Oreochromis niloticus: one gene and its partner. The protein of the gene in region 1 purifies or fractionates together with the protein of each later gene. This does not show direct contact. Links are inferred from orthologs where the notes say so. Each region holds a gene or a part of one and is shown on either strand. Other genes may lie near its edges.

Region 1 (7,326 bases):
TTGCAGAGAAAGTTTGCTCTACAATCAAAAGTGAAACGGAGGTGTTCATGTAGGCATGAAGCTAATAAATTTTGAGTCATAGTTACTTTTACTGAAACACAGGAAGAAGAGATGACTTCATGAACAACTCTGAAACTACACACTTATTTTCAGAGCTATGACAATAGAAAAAGCTGAATGTTTACACTGGAAGAACGCTAGTTACTGCATTAGCAAAATTAGTAAACTATACATTTTACAAGGAGCTGGTGGTGGACTTCAGAAGGAGTCAGCACAGAGACTACAAGCCCATTTTCATCAATGGAGCTCCAGTGGAGAGGGTGCAGTCCTTCAAATATCTTGGTGTCCACATCTCCTCAGACCTGACATGGGCTGCCCACATTCAGGTCCAGACCAAGAAGGCTAGGCAGCGCCTGTATCACCTCCGACAACTAAGGAAGTTCAGGGTCTCTCCAAAGATCCTCAGGATCTTCTATACAGGCGCTGTGGAGAGTATCCTCACACAGAACATGACAGCGTGGTTCGGGAACAGCTGTGTGAAGGACCAAAAAGCTCTCCAGAGAGTGATCCGTACAGCAGAACGCTGCTGCAGGATTGCTCTCCCCCCACTTCAGGACACCTACACCAGGAGATGCCAGACTAGAGCAACGCAGATACTGAAGGACCCGTCCCACCCTGGCAACAAACTGTTCCAACTTCTACAATCTGGTAGAAGGTTCCGCATCATCCGGGCAAGGACAGAGAGACTCAAGAAGAGCTTCTATCCTCAAGCCATCCAGACCCTAAACCAACACACACACATCCTAATAACTTGTGTTTATGTACAGTTGTTGGAACTGATGATCTTGGAAACTGCAGATTTTTAGAAATGACTCCAAGATACCTTCCAAACTTGTGTAAATGTACACTTCTCCATCTTAAATCCAAAGTTCCTTGGGCTTTCCCATTGGTCCGAGTTTTGGTCAGTCCAATGAGTGTTGTCAAATAAATCTCTTTTATGCTAGCCTAGCGAAACTACCAGTTGTAGTCAATCATGATTACAAGTTAATAGGCCTTGGACATGTAAAGTTAAAAGACATTGTAGAACCTTCGGAACCTCTTATTAAAAGATTTAACTCAACGTATATATTTGAGCATGCATGTTTTTACTTTTGACTGTGTGGATCAAAGAAAAGACTAAATAAATTGAAAAATTGTGCACCTTATCTTTGTTTTGTTTTAATCATTAAAAATGAATGCTGTGTAATCATTAATAGCCAAAACTTAGCATGACATTCATCTCCAGGATGAAACTCCTGGCCACATCTGTATATGTCTAATCCTTACCTTACCTTAATTGTAATATTAAGCCTAAAACCAGGTCTTTTTTCAAGCCTGCCAGTGAACAGCTGCCAAAGAATACCAGCACCAAAAATTCCTAACTTTTAAAAAATGTTATCAAATGGCCATGTTTTTACTTAAATCCTATTCATTTATTGACTTGGTCTTCCTGTAAAATACAGTTACTCCTGTCAGATGTTCATGTTGTTTATATGAGGAGTTCTTGAGAACCCACACTGCACAGGCACCTTTTGAACAGAGACAATGACACGCATACATTTGCTGCATGTGATGAGGGCATGAATAAGTTCTAGGGTAGTTTTGCTGTTTGGCAAATCTTTCGGTGTGAAGTAAAAAGTTTGTTAAACCAGTTTCCCCAACACTAGCTTCTGTAAGGTGTATGCATAGTCTTACATACCTGCATGTTAGTTCAAGGCTGTCAGATTTGTTCATCCTATGGATGCCATAGATATTTAGTGTCGGTGGATCAGATATAAACCGCAGTTCCGCTGCTGGAGAGATTAACAGTACAAATCAGTCACAGCAACGACTAACTTTTAACACAGTCGGGGTGATGACATCAGTCTCTACAAACAATGATTAAATGAAGGTTTCAGAGATCATGGCCCTACTGTTTTAAACAAATGCACATAAGATTAAGATTAAATCAAAAGGCACAAGGTAAAAACTGAAAGTAGAGCACAGGAAAAAACAGTCTCCATTATAAGATGTGCTTTGTATCTGAGTCTCTGGCTACATAGGGCCCTTTTTCCATTGCTGCAGCAAATGGCGGAGCTGTGTGAAAACAGGAAGCAGGAGAAGATGGGCCGGGTCAGGCTCAATAGTCTAGCACAGTGTGCCTTAGGTGGGGTTCCTGTTTCTGAGGATACAGCCTGCCCACCACCTCCCTGTGAGGCCCTAAAGGACATAATGCATTGTATGGAAAAAAACAAAAAAAACAAAAAAGAAAAAACTAAGTGTTGAGCTGAGCTGATGAAGTGGGCCTTAATGATCTCAGAAGAAAAAAAAGTTTAAACTGTTGAACAACGTAGCACATCAGCAGAAACTAGTTACTTTTTACGTTTACATTTTACAACATAAAAACAAGTCATCAGGCCACAGTTCAAATGTTTTTGCTTAAATGTTTGAAGGTTTATCCTCTAATCCTCAAACTGGACTGCAGTTCTAAAGTGACAGAAAACATTCAGCAAAGACTAAAACTATAGAACAACTGAGGACAAAGTGTTTGAAATGTCTTAGAAAAGCGGCAAAAGCTTTTATAGAACTGCAGGGTGACTTTGAGTTGACAGATTTAAAAAAGAAAAAGAAAAAAAAAGATCAAACTTAGATCATAATCTAATATAATTCATGTTTTTCAGCTTAATTCGCTATTAAGGTAGACGATTAAATGGGGATAATATTATTATCTTACCAGCAAAACAAGTGATTTCCAGAATAATGCCCAGTAGTGGAATGACGGACAGTGTCTGCGCCATCATCCGACAAAAGACAAGGACAAAGTCCTCATCAAAGTCCAATTAATAACGTAACTGTAGAAATAATGATAATCCTACTGCCTCATTACCAATCCATTAAAAAAAGCTGTTTTATATTCCACCCCAGAGAAAGTTTGAAAGTCATGAAAACAGCCTGCAGTGGATGGTGATCAGCAGTGGCTAAAGTGTGACTGTGCGTGTCCCCATGGAGCTGTTGCGGCTGAGGATGGAGAGACGCGCCTCGGCTGAGCAGCCTGCCTGCAGGGGAGGAGTCTCTCTCTCTGACTCTCTGTAAAATTACCAAGGCGAATGCTGCCTGCAATAAACTTCTGGGCTTGTTGCCCAGTTGATGGGAGGACTTACTGAACTTTGAGAGAAACTTGGGAGACTTAAGAACTAGTGACAGCCAGGATGCATAACCCCCTGCTGAGGAGTCGTAAAAATGTTTACACCATAACTTTGACTCCTAGAGTAGTAATAATCATAAAATTTATAAATTTATTAAAAGGAAAATCCCATTACCAAAAGCATTAAGAAAACGTGTGTTCATAAGTTAGGGTTAAGGACCTGTTTTCACTCCTGCATAAAAGTAGAAAGAAGCCCAAGAGTTGCTTATTCTCGCCTCCATGTGACCTAAAGCAACATTAGCATGATAGGTCAGAGAACCAAAGCCATGAGGCCTAATAATAACTAAATTCTTGTTTCCTTGTAGATTCACTATTGCTACAACCCCCTTTATACAAACAGGTTACTATGGTTGAATGAGAATAATTTTATATTTTTTTACGCTTCTTCTAGAACACAGTTAAAACGCGCACACTTCGGGTGAGGCGTACATCTCCCTGCGAACAGACCCTACGCACTTCCATACAATCACACTGCTCCACACTTTTATCCTGCCGGAGTTGCTTTGGGTGATTCTCTGGCTACTTATGCTTAACAGCCACTTTGTTAGGAAAACCCTTTAAACTGTTCCCTAACGCAAATCTTCAATCAGCCAAACACGTGGCAGAAACTTACTGCATGTAGTTTTGGTGCATAACCGGAAAGTCGATTCTTTTCATCTGGGCGCAGTGTTTTCGGTGGGAGGACTGTAAATACAAGAAACAGTGGAAAGTACAATAGGTTTAATTCATGCGCTGAAATCGCTATATTAAAGACGCAGTTGAAAACGTATTCTTCGGCGATTAGAAAAATGTTTAAACATGTCCTTTGTGTGTGCTGCAGCTTGTGAACTTAAAAGAAAGACAATGGATATCGTGGATGTTGGTTAAATATGATTTTAATGTCATTTCTATACGAAGTCCCCCTCTTTACAAATACAGTATGGTGTTGTCTAACTGTGTAACAAAAGACTGCATTGATTATCATGAATTTGAAGATGCATTAAAAAAAATTCTCGATATTTTATAATCAAATAAAACAATATTAAGATATTCATAGAACAATTAATTAACCGTTTAATTAATTCATGTAATTCTGGAATTAATGTCACCTTAATAACCTGTGAATTTAAAGTATCTCATGATTCCTGAATACAGACATTAAGTAATGTAACAACTGTGTTACAATTTGGGCATTTTAGTCATCATGATTATTCACAAAAAAAGAAAAAAGCTATTTAGGCTTTTTCATGTAAGTTTGCAGTTCCTGGGACAGGCTGAAAATGGAGCAGTAATGGTGAAATGCAGTATGACTGACTAAACCTAACTAATGACTAATGTCCCTCCAATGCTGATCTGGTAGCTTTTTAATACTTGGAAATAAATTACAGCTGTAAAATAATCAAAGTATTAAGCTTTACTAGAGACACAGACTGGGCCTTTTTACAGGGTCAAATATATCTGTGGATCAGGTTCCATTGCCTGCCCAAAGATATCTGTTAAGGTTTGGAAAAAGAAACAGATAATCTGGGACAGTGCCAAAAACATGTCAGGAAAGCAGGGCGCAGCTTATACCAAACCCAAATGACATTTACATTAGGACTGCTGCCTTGAAAAGAGGAAAGGGATAAAGGTAATACCTGGAACTGATTAACATCAGATTGTGTCCCATTTTTGTATTTTTCCAGAACTTCAAACGTGTGATGAATGTAGTGCTTCATCTGATGAGGAGGGAGGAGGCTGTGTTTTGATGCTGGCGTGGATTCAGGAGGGTTGAGGGAGATGATTGAGGGCTGTGTGTTATGCGCTGCATCCACATGTTTCCTGGCCTGGTCACTTCTACTGGGACTCTCTGAATACTAAACTGCCTAGCTGCCTTGTAACCATCATTTCCTGGAGGACAGTCTACACTGAATTCCCTTCTGGAAAAGCTGGAATCAGAAACATTTTTCCATTTTTCTATCTCTGTTTATTTTCTAAATCCAAAGAGAGGTGATTGCTTTGAACTCTGGCCCACTCACAGACAAAGAGAAATGTTTTCATAGTTTAAAGCATTTGAGCAAAGGAGAGGAAAGAATGAGCAGTGTGTGGTTGTGTGGAAGAAAATATTTTACTGTATTTTGCAATTTTCCTGTAAAATTACAATAACATAATAATAATACTTGTTATTATTATTATTATTAGTAGTAGTAGTAGTAGTAGCGACTGCTAATTTGTCCTCCATTAAACTGTTGAACTAAAATCTACAAAAGAGATACATGGATAAAATGTGAGCTTAATGGTATAAGACTGTCAGCTGTTGTCAGCTGTGACTTAATTAGGTACAGCTGTCCAACCATTCGTTCAAGTAAATATCTAATCAATCACATGGAAGCAGCCCATTGTACTCAGACATTTAAACATGTTACAACCTACTGAAGTTCAAACTGAGCATCAGATGTGGCAGAAAGCTGATTTAAGTGATTTTGGTTGTTTGTGAATAAGAGAGGCTGGTCTGTGTATTTCAGAAACTGATGATCTGCTCAGCTTTTCCCAGCAGATCATCAGTTTCTGAAATACACAGGCCAGCTTCCCCAGGACTTACATAGAATGCCCCCCGATATCCACTGAGCAGCAGTTCACTGGAAAAAATGTCTTGCTGATGACAAAGGTCAGGGGAGAATGGTCAGACTGGTTTGAGCAACACAGCAGCTGTTCAAAGCACTCAATGCAAGTATGTAGAAGAGCATCTCCTTATATGAACTTTGAATATGTTGAACTTTGAATCAGATGGACCACAGCAGCAGAAGACCACAATGTGTGGCAGTCCTGTCAGCTAGGACAGGAAATGGGAAACTGAAGGGCTAACAAGGCCTCAAAATCGGACAACAAAAGATGTGAAAAATGTTGCCTGGTTGATTTCTGCTGCCATATTTTGACAGTAGGATCAGAATTTGATCTAAATGCATTTATGGTTCAGGCTGGTTGGAGTGACGTAATGGCATGGCGGATATTTTCATGAAACATTCTGGGCTCCTTAGCACTTACTGAACATCATTTAAACACCATAGCCTTCCTGAGAATTGTTGCTGAACATGTCTGTTACGACCCGGTTTTGCTAGGGGACAGGGAAGGTGGCATAAACGAGACCCTCACGAGGGAGATCAGTTAAGACAAAGTTTTATTTACAGAAAAAAACTCAGAACTGAAAACCGATAGCGACATTTACTACAAACCACAAGGCAAATAACCAATACAAAAATAACTTGCTCATGTACAAGTAGAAATTAAAGCTAGCCTCATGGGCTGTAACATGACTAAACGCTATTCAAACAAATTCCACACCTTAAACAGGGTTTCACAAGCTAGGCTCACAGACTGTGGGGCAAACTGCACATTCAGTTCAAAGCAGCAGCCCCTGAATGAAAGTTCTTCAGCCCTTTTGAAGGCACAGGTGTGCACAATTGGTTGCAGATTGATCTCTCTCCCTGGAGGTGCAAACCACAGGTCTTCAGGCAGCCAATTGTCTGTGTGGATTGTCACATTCGAATTGACATGCAGGAAGGCTAGCACGGGTTCCCAGACAGCCAATCGTCTGTCGGTGTTGTCACGGTTGAATTGGGGGGATTGAATTTGTCACGGTTGAATTTGCTTGAAGGAAGGCTAGCTCACTTCTTCCAAGGCCAGGAGCCATAACAATGTCCATTCCCTTATGATCACAGTGAACTGTCTTAAGATAAGATAAGATAACCTTTATTAGTCCCACACGTGGGAAATTTGTTGATGGCTTCTGATGGCTGGTTCCAGCACAATGTCACAAAAGTCAAATCAAATCAAACTGGTTTCTTAAACATGACAGTGACAGTGTACTGAAACTGCCTCCACAGTCACCAGATCTAACTCCAGTAGCTCTTTGATATGTGTTGAACCAGGAGATTGGCAACATAAATGGGCAGCTGACAAATCTGCAACAACTGTGTGATGCTATCATGTCAGTATGGACCCAGATCTCTAGCACTAGTTGAATCTATGTCAAAAATAGCTAAGGGAGTGCTGAAGGTAAAAGGAGGACCACCTAGTAAGGTGTAACTAATGAATCTATACTTTGAACCTGTACCCTGTGTTCAGGTTTTTGTCTTTCCTGGACG
Region 2 (8,080 bases), on another chromosome or scaffold:
CCACATAAACAAACACAACACAGACAGGAGGACACAAACTGTCAGCCAAAGTCGTGCGCCTCGGCCACTCCATCACACTCCAGCGTAAACCAAAATCCACTCGATTAAAATTGGATCTGTCCAATTCCCTTCAAACCTCTCAGTCACCGGTAAAAGCTTTCGCCCTGATTGACGGGAGTGTGTGACACTTGATTGTTACAGCGGTTTCAGTTTGACAGCTGTGCACGGAGTCCGTGTGTCTCAGACGCAAAGCCAATTCAAAAATAAAGAATTAGATTTTTGTTAGCAGTGCAAATATTACCGCAGATATTAGACTTGGATTTGGCCTGTGGTGCATCGCTATTGACAAAACACAGTGCTGAGGTGCTAAGCTCTTATAAACACTTCGAGACTGTTGACACTACATACGCTTTTTGTGTGGGTGTCTTGACCTGTGAGGAGGTGTTTTTCTCGGGTTCCTTCTGTCTGGCGTATGTACTGTATCTGTCTGTCTCTCCGACCATGTGGGGAGGGGGGTTGTTTATGTGCGTTGGTTTTTTTTCTATTTCCTGGTGTGTATGAGCGCATTCTGGAAACCAACTGTAGGAGTTTGTTTTTGAGGCCATAGCATGTGGTTGTCCGTCACTGCCTTCATACAATAGAGCCGAGTCTCAGCTGCGTTTCCTCCTGCGGTGCTCAGTCTAGCGCGGCGTGCTCAGTGTGCAGCGCACTGCGTGAGCCACAGTTTGATTAAAATCTCGTCCCGTGCGATGCTAAAAAAACAGAAGTTAGTGCAGCTTCGGCGGAATTTCATTAGCAGCGTGATGGCTGCTGATGGTTTTCCTGAATTCTGTATGAGAGGCTCTAATTGTTGCATTTTTATATGCAGCGCGTTACAGCGGAGTGACTCTGTGGTGCCACGTATCTAAGTTGAAAGTCTGTTTGTGTCTTTATTGTGGTTTCTCTCTCTTTTTACTCAGAAAGCTGAGATTGCATTTTCAAACGGTATCTCTTCTTGCAGATCAGGATTCCTTCAGGCTCGCTTCAACGGAGGTCTTCAGCATATTTTAAAGATAATAATAATAAGCCTGAATGTGCATGCCCACAAAGCAGGCAAAATATGTATATATTTAACACAGTTATTTTCTCAGTTTTAAGTAAAGCTCTTGTACTCCAAGAAACTCCAGAATTTTGTACTATTTGGGGAAGACTCTCTGCTGGGTACAGCTTATCATAATTATCATATTTGATCAATCATAACAAAATCTGAATAAAAATAGAGTTTTCTTCATTTCGGTGAGTAATAATTGCATTTTAAAGGGGATTCTGCATGCTTTATTTCATCTTATTGTGAAATACAGCTATATACCATTAAGAAATGTCCACCAGTTGTCTTTTGCAAAGTTAAAATTTCCCAATAATCACACATTTATGTCCGAATTAAACTGTAACATTTTCAGGCAAATCACAGGTAGCTGAGCAGAAAATGTGATGTTTTTAGATGGAATGATCCCACATCTTACTTCAGCTTATAAAACAGTAGTATTGAAGTAACTCTTTAGGGTCACTTTAGGGTCAAGCTAACATCTCCTAGCTGTTATTGTTTTGTAACGTTGATTATTCTGTGTCTTGATTTCAGTGCAACTCCTCAGCATGCACTCTTGAAGCCACTGGTTAACATTATTCAGATACACTTGGACATAAAGCAATGTTTAAAGAAACAGCAGTAAAATAAATCGACTTGGAAACTTGCTAAAATAACAGTAAAAGCAGCGACTCAGCAACATGTACTTAAATTAGATGACACAGTCTTAATGGGTGAAGTGGTGTGGTTGTCCAGTAGAAAAAAGTTTGAATCAAATTGTGTTTGCACTTTGCTTTCAGCTGTTCGCCCCTGTTTGCTGTGTGATCGGAACTTTTGTTAATTGAGCAAAAGCAAACTGCACAAAGTTTGCAAAGCTATGACTTAAATCCGGAAACATATGTTTGTGTAAAAGAAAAAACCCGACCCTAGTATTTCATGCAAACTTGAACCCTTGAAGAATTTCGATACTCGCTGCTACAGAGGACTAAAAGTTACGCCAGACAATGTTCAAAGGTTGAGCTGGAACTTCAGTGAAGAAACACCGCAGTTTCTGACAAGTAAGCCGTTAAACTGAGAAGGAAGTTGTAAGTGGAAGTTGTAAGTGGAGCAAAGCAGAAAGTGGTAGCAGGAAAGGAATGATGGAAGGAGATAGAGATGTGGGAGTGTGGTTAGAGGAGGGGTGGTGGTGGTGGTGGAAGCACAACCCAAAATAGCCAGCTCACATGTTTGCTGTGTGCGTAGTGAGCTATGAAGCCGAGAGAAAGTACTCCTGCTGAAGCCCCGGCTAATCTAATGTTCACCCTCAGCCTAATTTTTGAAAATTTGATTGCCTTTTTCCAGTGTGCCTGCTTATTTGTGTTTACGTTTGAGACTTTCCCGTGTGAGTTACGCTTCCTCCCTCTCTCCCTTCTATTGTTCATTCTTTACTCGACTCTTTACTGTCTGTCTTGCCTTGATAATAGGAATTGATGTTAGTCAGCATCTCTGGCAAGAATCCAAGAGGAAAATGTCAGCATCGAGGCCCCGTTTACTCATCTTTGCTAATTTTTTTTTGACTAGTTCAAATAAGGATAAGTGAGGTGGGTCAAATCACATTACACACACACATGCACACACACACACACACACACACACACACACACACACACACACACACACACACACACACACAGATATACAGTGTAAGAGCAGACTGCAGATGTGGCCCTGCAGCGTGTGCATTAGATCCAGAGCTCTTTCTTAGTCTGTCTCCGATTGTTTCATCTAATAAATACTGACTAGCTGCAGTTTCCACAGACTTCTGCAGGCGCAGAACACCAAAACTCACACTTGCTAACTCGCACTGGGCAAGCTGAAACACAAACAACCTACACATGCAGTCCTTTGAGTTGATTCTTTTCATTCCACAGGGTATGTTTCAACATGCACAGCGGATTTCTGCCTTTCTCCTTTCACTCTTCCTCTCTCCTTCCTTCGCTTTCTGTTACTTTATCCCTCTGAGTATCGCCCGGCCTCTGCCCTGTGTCAATGTTGTGTGTCTATGTGCTCGATATGAAGAAGGTCCCATGACTCTCTCCACAGCTGATGCTGGGAGCAAAGCATGCTGGAAGTCAAGTGGCTGCAAGGGCGCTGGTTTGAGCACGCTGTAATTTGCTCTTTGATTTGTGTGTGTGTGTGCTTGTCTGCGACTGTGTATGCTGTGTACTGTGTGCTGATGTGCACCTTGGTGTTTTTAGGGCTACAGACTCTCACGCTGCCTGTGCTGGCTGATGGAATATATGGTAAGACATTAAAATCATACGAGCAGCTGATTAAAAAAACACATCGTGCCACGGTGGCAAAGGAGTTGCTGCTTCTAAATTTCTGATATAATATAGAAATGAACAGACTCTCGCATCCAGCCCTGGTGGGCATATGTGTAAAGTAAGCGTTATTTGTTAAAGCACCGTAATTTCAGGGCTGCACAATTACACCAAGAATAAGATAAAATTGCTCCCAAAGATACTGTGGACACATGAGTGATTGTAGCTGGTGTGCAATATTTCACCAATTAAGATGCCTCCTTTCCATTTTCATGAAATTATAATCGAGCGTTATGAAAGTGTCATGTTTCAGGCTTTGATATGAAACAAACTGGAATGTTCTCTGACCCATTTAAAAGGGTTTCCAAGTAGCATATGCAACATAAAACAAAAACCTTATTCAAGAGAGAGAGCCTTCTAAGAAGCAGTACAATGTGATGCAGAAAAATCGCACACCCCTCTTTTTTTACACCTCATTTAATATTGCACAAGTTTTCACCTGCAAGAAGGAACTGGAAAAAAAGTCGTTTTGAAATCGTGCTTCAGTAATTGTACAGCCCTGTGCATGTAAATTTATTGTGGTTTGAATGGGATGTTAACTTTGCTTCCTCTGCAGTTTATTAGTTACACCCAAATAAAACAAATGCAGTTGGAAGCTGTGAGATAAACCTTACATTTTTGAGATAAAAAAAAAACCCATATCTATATTTTCAGATGGATATTTTTGGTTATTTTTGGAGGCTGCGGCTCCACGGAGAAGAAAGTGGCTGAACTGCAGTAGTTTTAGTTGGGTGTACTGAATAAGCTGTCAGCTCAGCGTGATTGCTACCTTTTTAATGTAAATTCAAGATGGCACTTGAACTGTTAATTCACTGAATCTAATAAGGGAGCACAAAATTTCAATTAGGTCAACCCTAAGCCACAGTGTATCGTGTGTTTCACTGGTTCTGGGCGTCTCGCAGGCTGCGGGTGGAGGGTGTCTTCTTCGCCAATCATGCCCGTCACTACCAATCAGATCACTGTGTATGATGACGAATGTTAGCTGTCTGCAGTTTGTCTCATTATGAACCTTCACATCCTTGAGTGCACTGCTTGAGCTCATGATGATGGTGTAGTGGTGAAATTGGGTACTGCGGGGACTCTTTGGGGTGTCATTTGAGGACTCTCTGCTATCCACTCTGCTGGGTTCCTGTGTCACTCTATGTGTGGTTTCCTCTACTTTCCGCAACACTGCCTTCTCATCAGATGCGCTCGAATGTCAAGACCAATCTGTGGGATTTCTGCTTTATGTCTTCCAGTCTTTTCCCCTAGAGTGCTGTAGTCATGTAGTAACATTGGAAATATTTATCATGCGAGTGCAGTCTGCTTTCTTTTTCCCCTCACTTTGTCCACTTACCAAGGTTATATAGAGTGACCTCATGTCACAGCACACAGAGGCTATCTATATCCATCCTTCCCCTCTCTCTCTCTCTTCCCCTCACTCTTTAACTGTGTTTCTCAGGTTACCAAACATGAATAAGGGAGGAGCGTTGAATACCCAACATGAACAGCCCACCCTCCACATGCACACACAAACACATGTATCCACCATCCCTTCCCTTCTCTCCCCTTCCCTTCATTCCTCCTTCCCCATCCCCATCTCCATCTCCCCTTGGAGTGTGTGCATTTCTGAGTAGAAGTGCAGCATCTTGCTGTGCATACACATGTATACTGCTAAATGACTCTGGCTGCAGAGAGAAGGTGGGGGGAAGGGAAGGAAACAGGAAGGAGGTAGCATGGGAGAAAAGAAGGTGGGGAGGGCACAGGCTGTGGCGCGGTCGTGTGTGTGTATGTGTGTGTATGAAAGAGAGAGAGGGAGAGAGAGAGAGAATGGGAGGCAGCATCACCCACCCAGACTGGGAGGAGGGGAGGACAGACAGTGTGCTTGTGCCTCTAACAGACAGACTGAGGTGGAAGGAAAGTGGGGATGAGAGACAGACGTGAGGGGAGAAGAGGAGCACAATGAAGGACTACCATCTACCATCATCCATCCTGGCAACACTGCCATTTCACCATCTGCTGAAAGAGTGAGAGAGAGAGAGAGAGAGAGAGAGAGAGAAAGAGAGTGAGAGGAGGGACGAAACAAGGAGGCAGCCAAACGGAGGAGAGGATAGATGGAGAGGAGCTGCCGGCAGTGACTTTGTGAATTAATCGAGCGGAAGAGCGGATCAGAGGAGAAGCACGTTTTTCGGGGAGTGGACGAAGGGAAAGCTAGGAAGAGGAAGGAGAGGACGAATGATCGGACAGGCTGTGGCCGTTTAAACATTAATGTGGTTCTTATGTGAATACGGAACCTAGCTTTAGGAGAATCACCGTGGATTATCAATTGCATGCTTTATAAACCAAAAAAGGAACTACTTCGGTTTTTGTTTTGTTTTTTTGTTTTGTTTTTTTTGCCATTCATTAAAACACTTAGGGAAATCGATAAGACTCACTTTATACAGAACAGTTTAATTACTTTTTCTTTTCTTTTTTTGGAAATACAGACTCCCTTTGTGATTTTCTATTTTCTTTCCCTATCCCTCATGAGCATAGGATCTACTCTGCAGGATGTTATACAGTCATTCTAATCTTTGTTAGCTGCTGCACAGAATATTCAGGTTGTTTTTATGCAAGTTTTCTAAACATCAGTTGTCTTTTTGATGTTAATTCTTGGTGAAATTCTTGTTTATACAGTTATTAGAAAAGAGATTATTGTTCTTTGAACACAGTGTCAGTTTTACATGCCCTAGTCGGAGTCGGTGCGAGCGACCGACGTCGGATGTCAACATTGATTGGGTTTTATGGCTGGCGCGATGCCGGCCAAACTTTGATCATTTCCTGAACCATATTGATCTTTCTAGGAGTCTGTAGTTTTTCTCCTGTTGGATGAAATAAAAAGAGCTCTAATGTGGAGCCTTTGATGGAGCTACTAATTGCTTGCAATGTGATTTGACAAAGCGGTTATCTCTTTGTCTGAAGATTTCTGCTGTTGTCAGGACTTCTCAGTATATATCCTCTGCAGGCATCTCTTTTAATGTCTGTTGCCATAGCAACGGGCAGCAGCTGCAGACAGAACAAGATGTAAAGTTGGTTTTTCTTGTCCTATCTTTTTAAACTGGTGCTGTGCCATTAGGTAATTGTATATATTTACTAGATAAAACAAGATTAGTCCATTGTTTGTGTCAGTTTTTAGAGTTTTTGTTTCCCTTCTTCTCCAGTAGACAGTCCTTGTCTTTGCGGAGCTCGGCAAGCTCCGGGAATCAGGGTTGTTTCAGGTCACCTGTCTCCCCCTCCCAATTTTCCGTGTTCGCCTTGTACGACTCATCTCCGTCCAGCCTGTCCCGATCTCACATTTATTAATGACAACTACCATTTCCATCAGTCAAACTGATGAGCTCTTATCAGAAATGACTGGATGAATTAGATTACAGTACTGATTTCACTTGTACGTATCACAGCTGCGTGGCCCCAAGGCCACCAATCACCAGTCATTAGCTGTGTTTGTGACAGCCTTTTCCTTTTGCTGTTTGTCTCTAGGTGACTCAGGATTTCTCTTCCTGTAGAGGGTCATCTCCTCTGCAGTCACCTGACCTACACTGTGTTCGGTGCACTAAAACATCCCTGGGAAGAGCCAGGGTTAACTCTGCCCATAGAGCATTTCAGCAGCTCTCTTTTTTTTAACAGCACCTGAATTTCTCTCCAGTGTTAGCAAGTCTACTGAGATTGAATCCTTTGCCTTTTTAAGTGCTATTCTTCTTCTCTACGGACTAAGTTCTGGTTTTATTAGATGTGTGACAGACCTTTTTGTTTAATCTGCATGCTCTTTGACTGTCCAAGTACTGTGAGTGTGTGCATGTTGTGACTTTTCCAGCCATACTACTTTACAGCTTTCTGGAGATCATCCCAGCCTGTCTTGCAGTTCATAAGTATGACTGGATCCTCCATGGTGCTTTCTGGCCAAGACCAGATGGATGACTAGCTAGAATTGCTAGACAATCCCTCTGTGGTGCTAGACTGGTGTAGGCGACTGTTCCTTTGCCATGCATTGAGCGCCCACCACAAGCTTGCGGGCTGTCCTTCAGGCAGAGTGAAGTTCTGAAATCTTAGTGTGAGGAGAAAAAAATAATCAACCTTTTTTGCTTGGCATTACTGAAACGCTGGTGCCACTTTTACAGACTTTTGTATGTGTTGTGGAAAAGGTGGGTGTAAACCTTCTCCTTTGAGGGAGCAAAGGTCAACAGATTGTAAGTATGACTAGTGCCTCAGCAGCACTAAGTTGTAGGCCAGCCAGCCAGCTTGCTGCTGGACTGTAGGTGTAGCTTTGCCTCCTACTGAGGTCAAACTGTGGCTGACTGTTTTAATTGTGGGGCTGTGGTTTGTGAGAGACTGTTAATGTAAACAGACTGTTGTTTGCCTTCTAGATTGGACTATGCAGACTATGAGATGTGAGGTGGTGTCTGTACAGTAGAGAGAGCTTACCTGCTGCTTGATAAGCCCTGCTTTAGATAAGGAAGGAATATAACTCTTGGCTCGTTCATATCATCTGTGACAGTGTCAATATTTTTCTCTCAGGTAAATAACTCTGTCCTGCGATTGCTATTTGAACTAGGCCGTAATAAAGTTACAGGGTGAGAACAGACGTGCATAGAGAAATCAGCCTAACAGCAGTTTTGATTGAGCATTTCCAGCTGGG

What was found. Proteins that work in one complex are often made in the same cells at the same time.
Region 2: the proteins of kdr (region 1) and shc1 purify together in Homo sapiens (affinity purification with western blotting; 3 studies listed by BioGRID and IntAct, with this or other methods). This does not show direct contact. The link is inferred for Oreochromis niloticus from reciprocal best matches to the Homo sapiens genes KDR and SHC1.

What each region holds. Positions count from the first base shown.
Region 1 is NC_031986.2:37,676,556-37,683,881, forward strand, and holds the start of kdr (vascular endothelial growth factor receptor 2), read right to left. Parts: upstream 3,065-7,326; 5' UTR 2,820-3,064; coding exon 2,753-2,819; intron 1,833-2,752; coding exon 1,739-1,832; intron 1-1,738. UniProt on the Homo sapiens protein: Tyrosine-protein kinase that acts as a cell-surface receptor for VEGFA, VEGFC and VEGFD. Plays an essential role in the regulation of angiogenesis, vascular development, vascular permeability, and embryonic hematopoiesis.
Region 2 is NC_031976.2:20,859,176-20,867,255, reverse strand, and holds the start of shc1 (SHC-transforming protein 1), read left to right. Parts: upstream 1-5,017; 5' UTR 5,018-8,080. UniProt on the Homo sapiens protein: Signaling adapter that couples activated growth factor receptors to signaling pathways. Participates in a signaling cascade initiated by activated KIT and KITLG/SCF.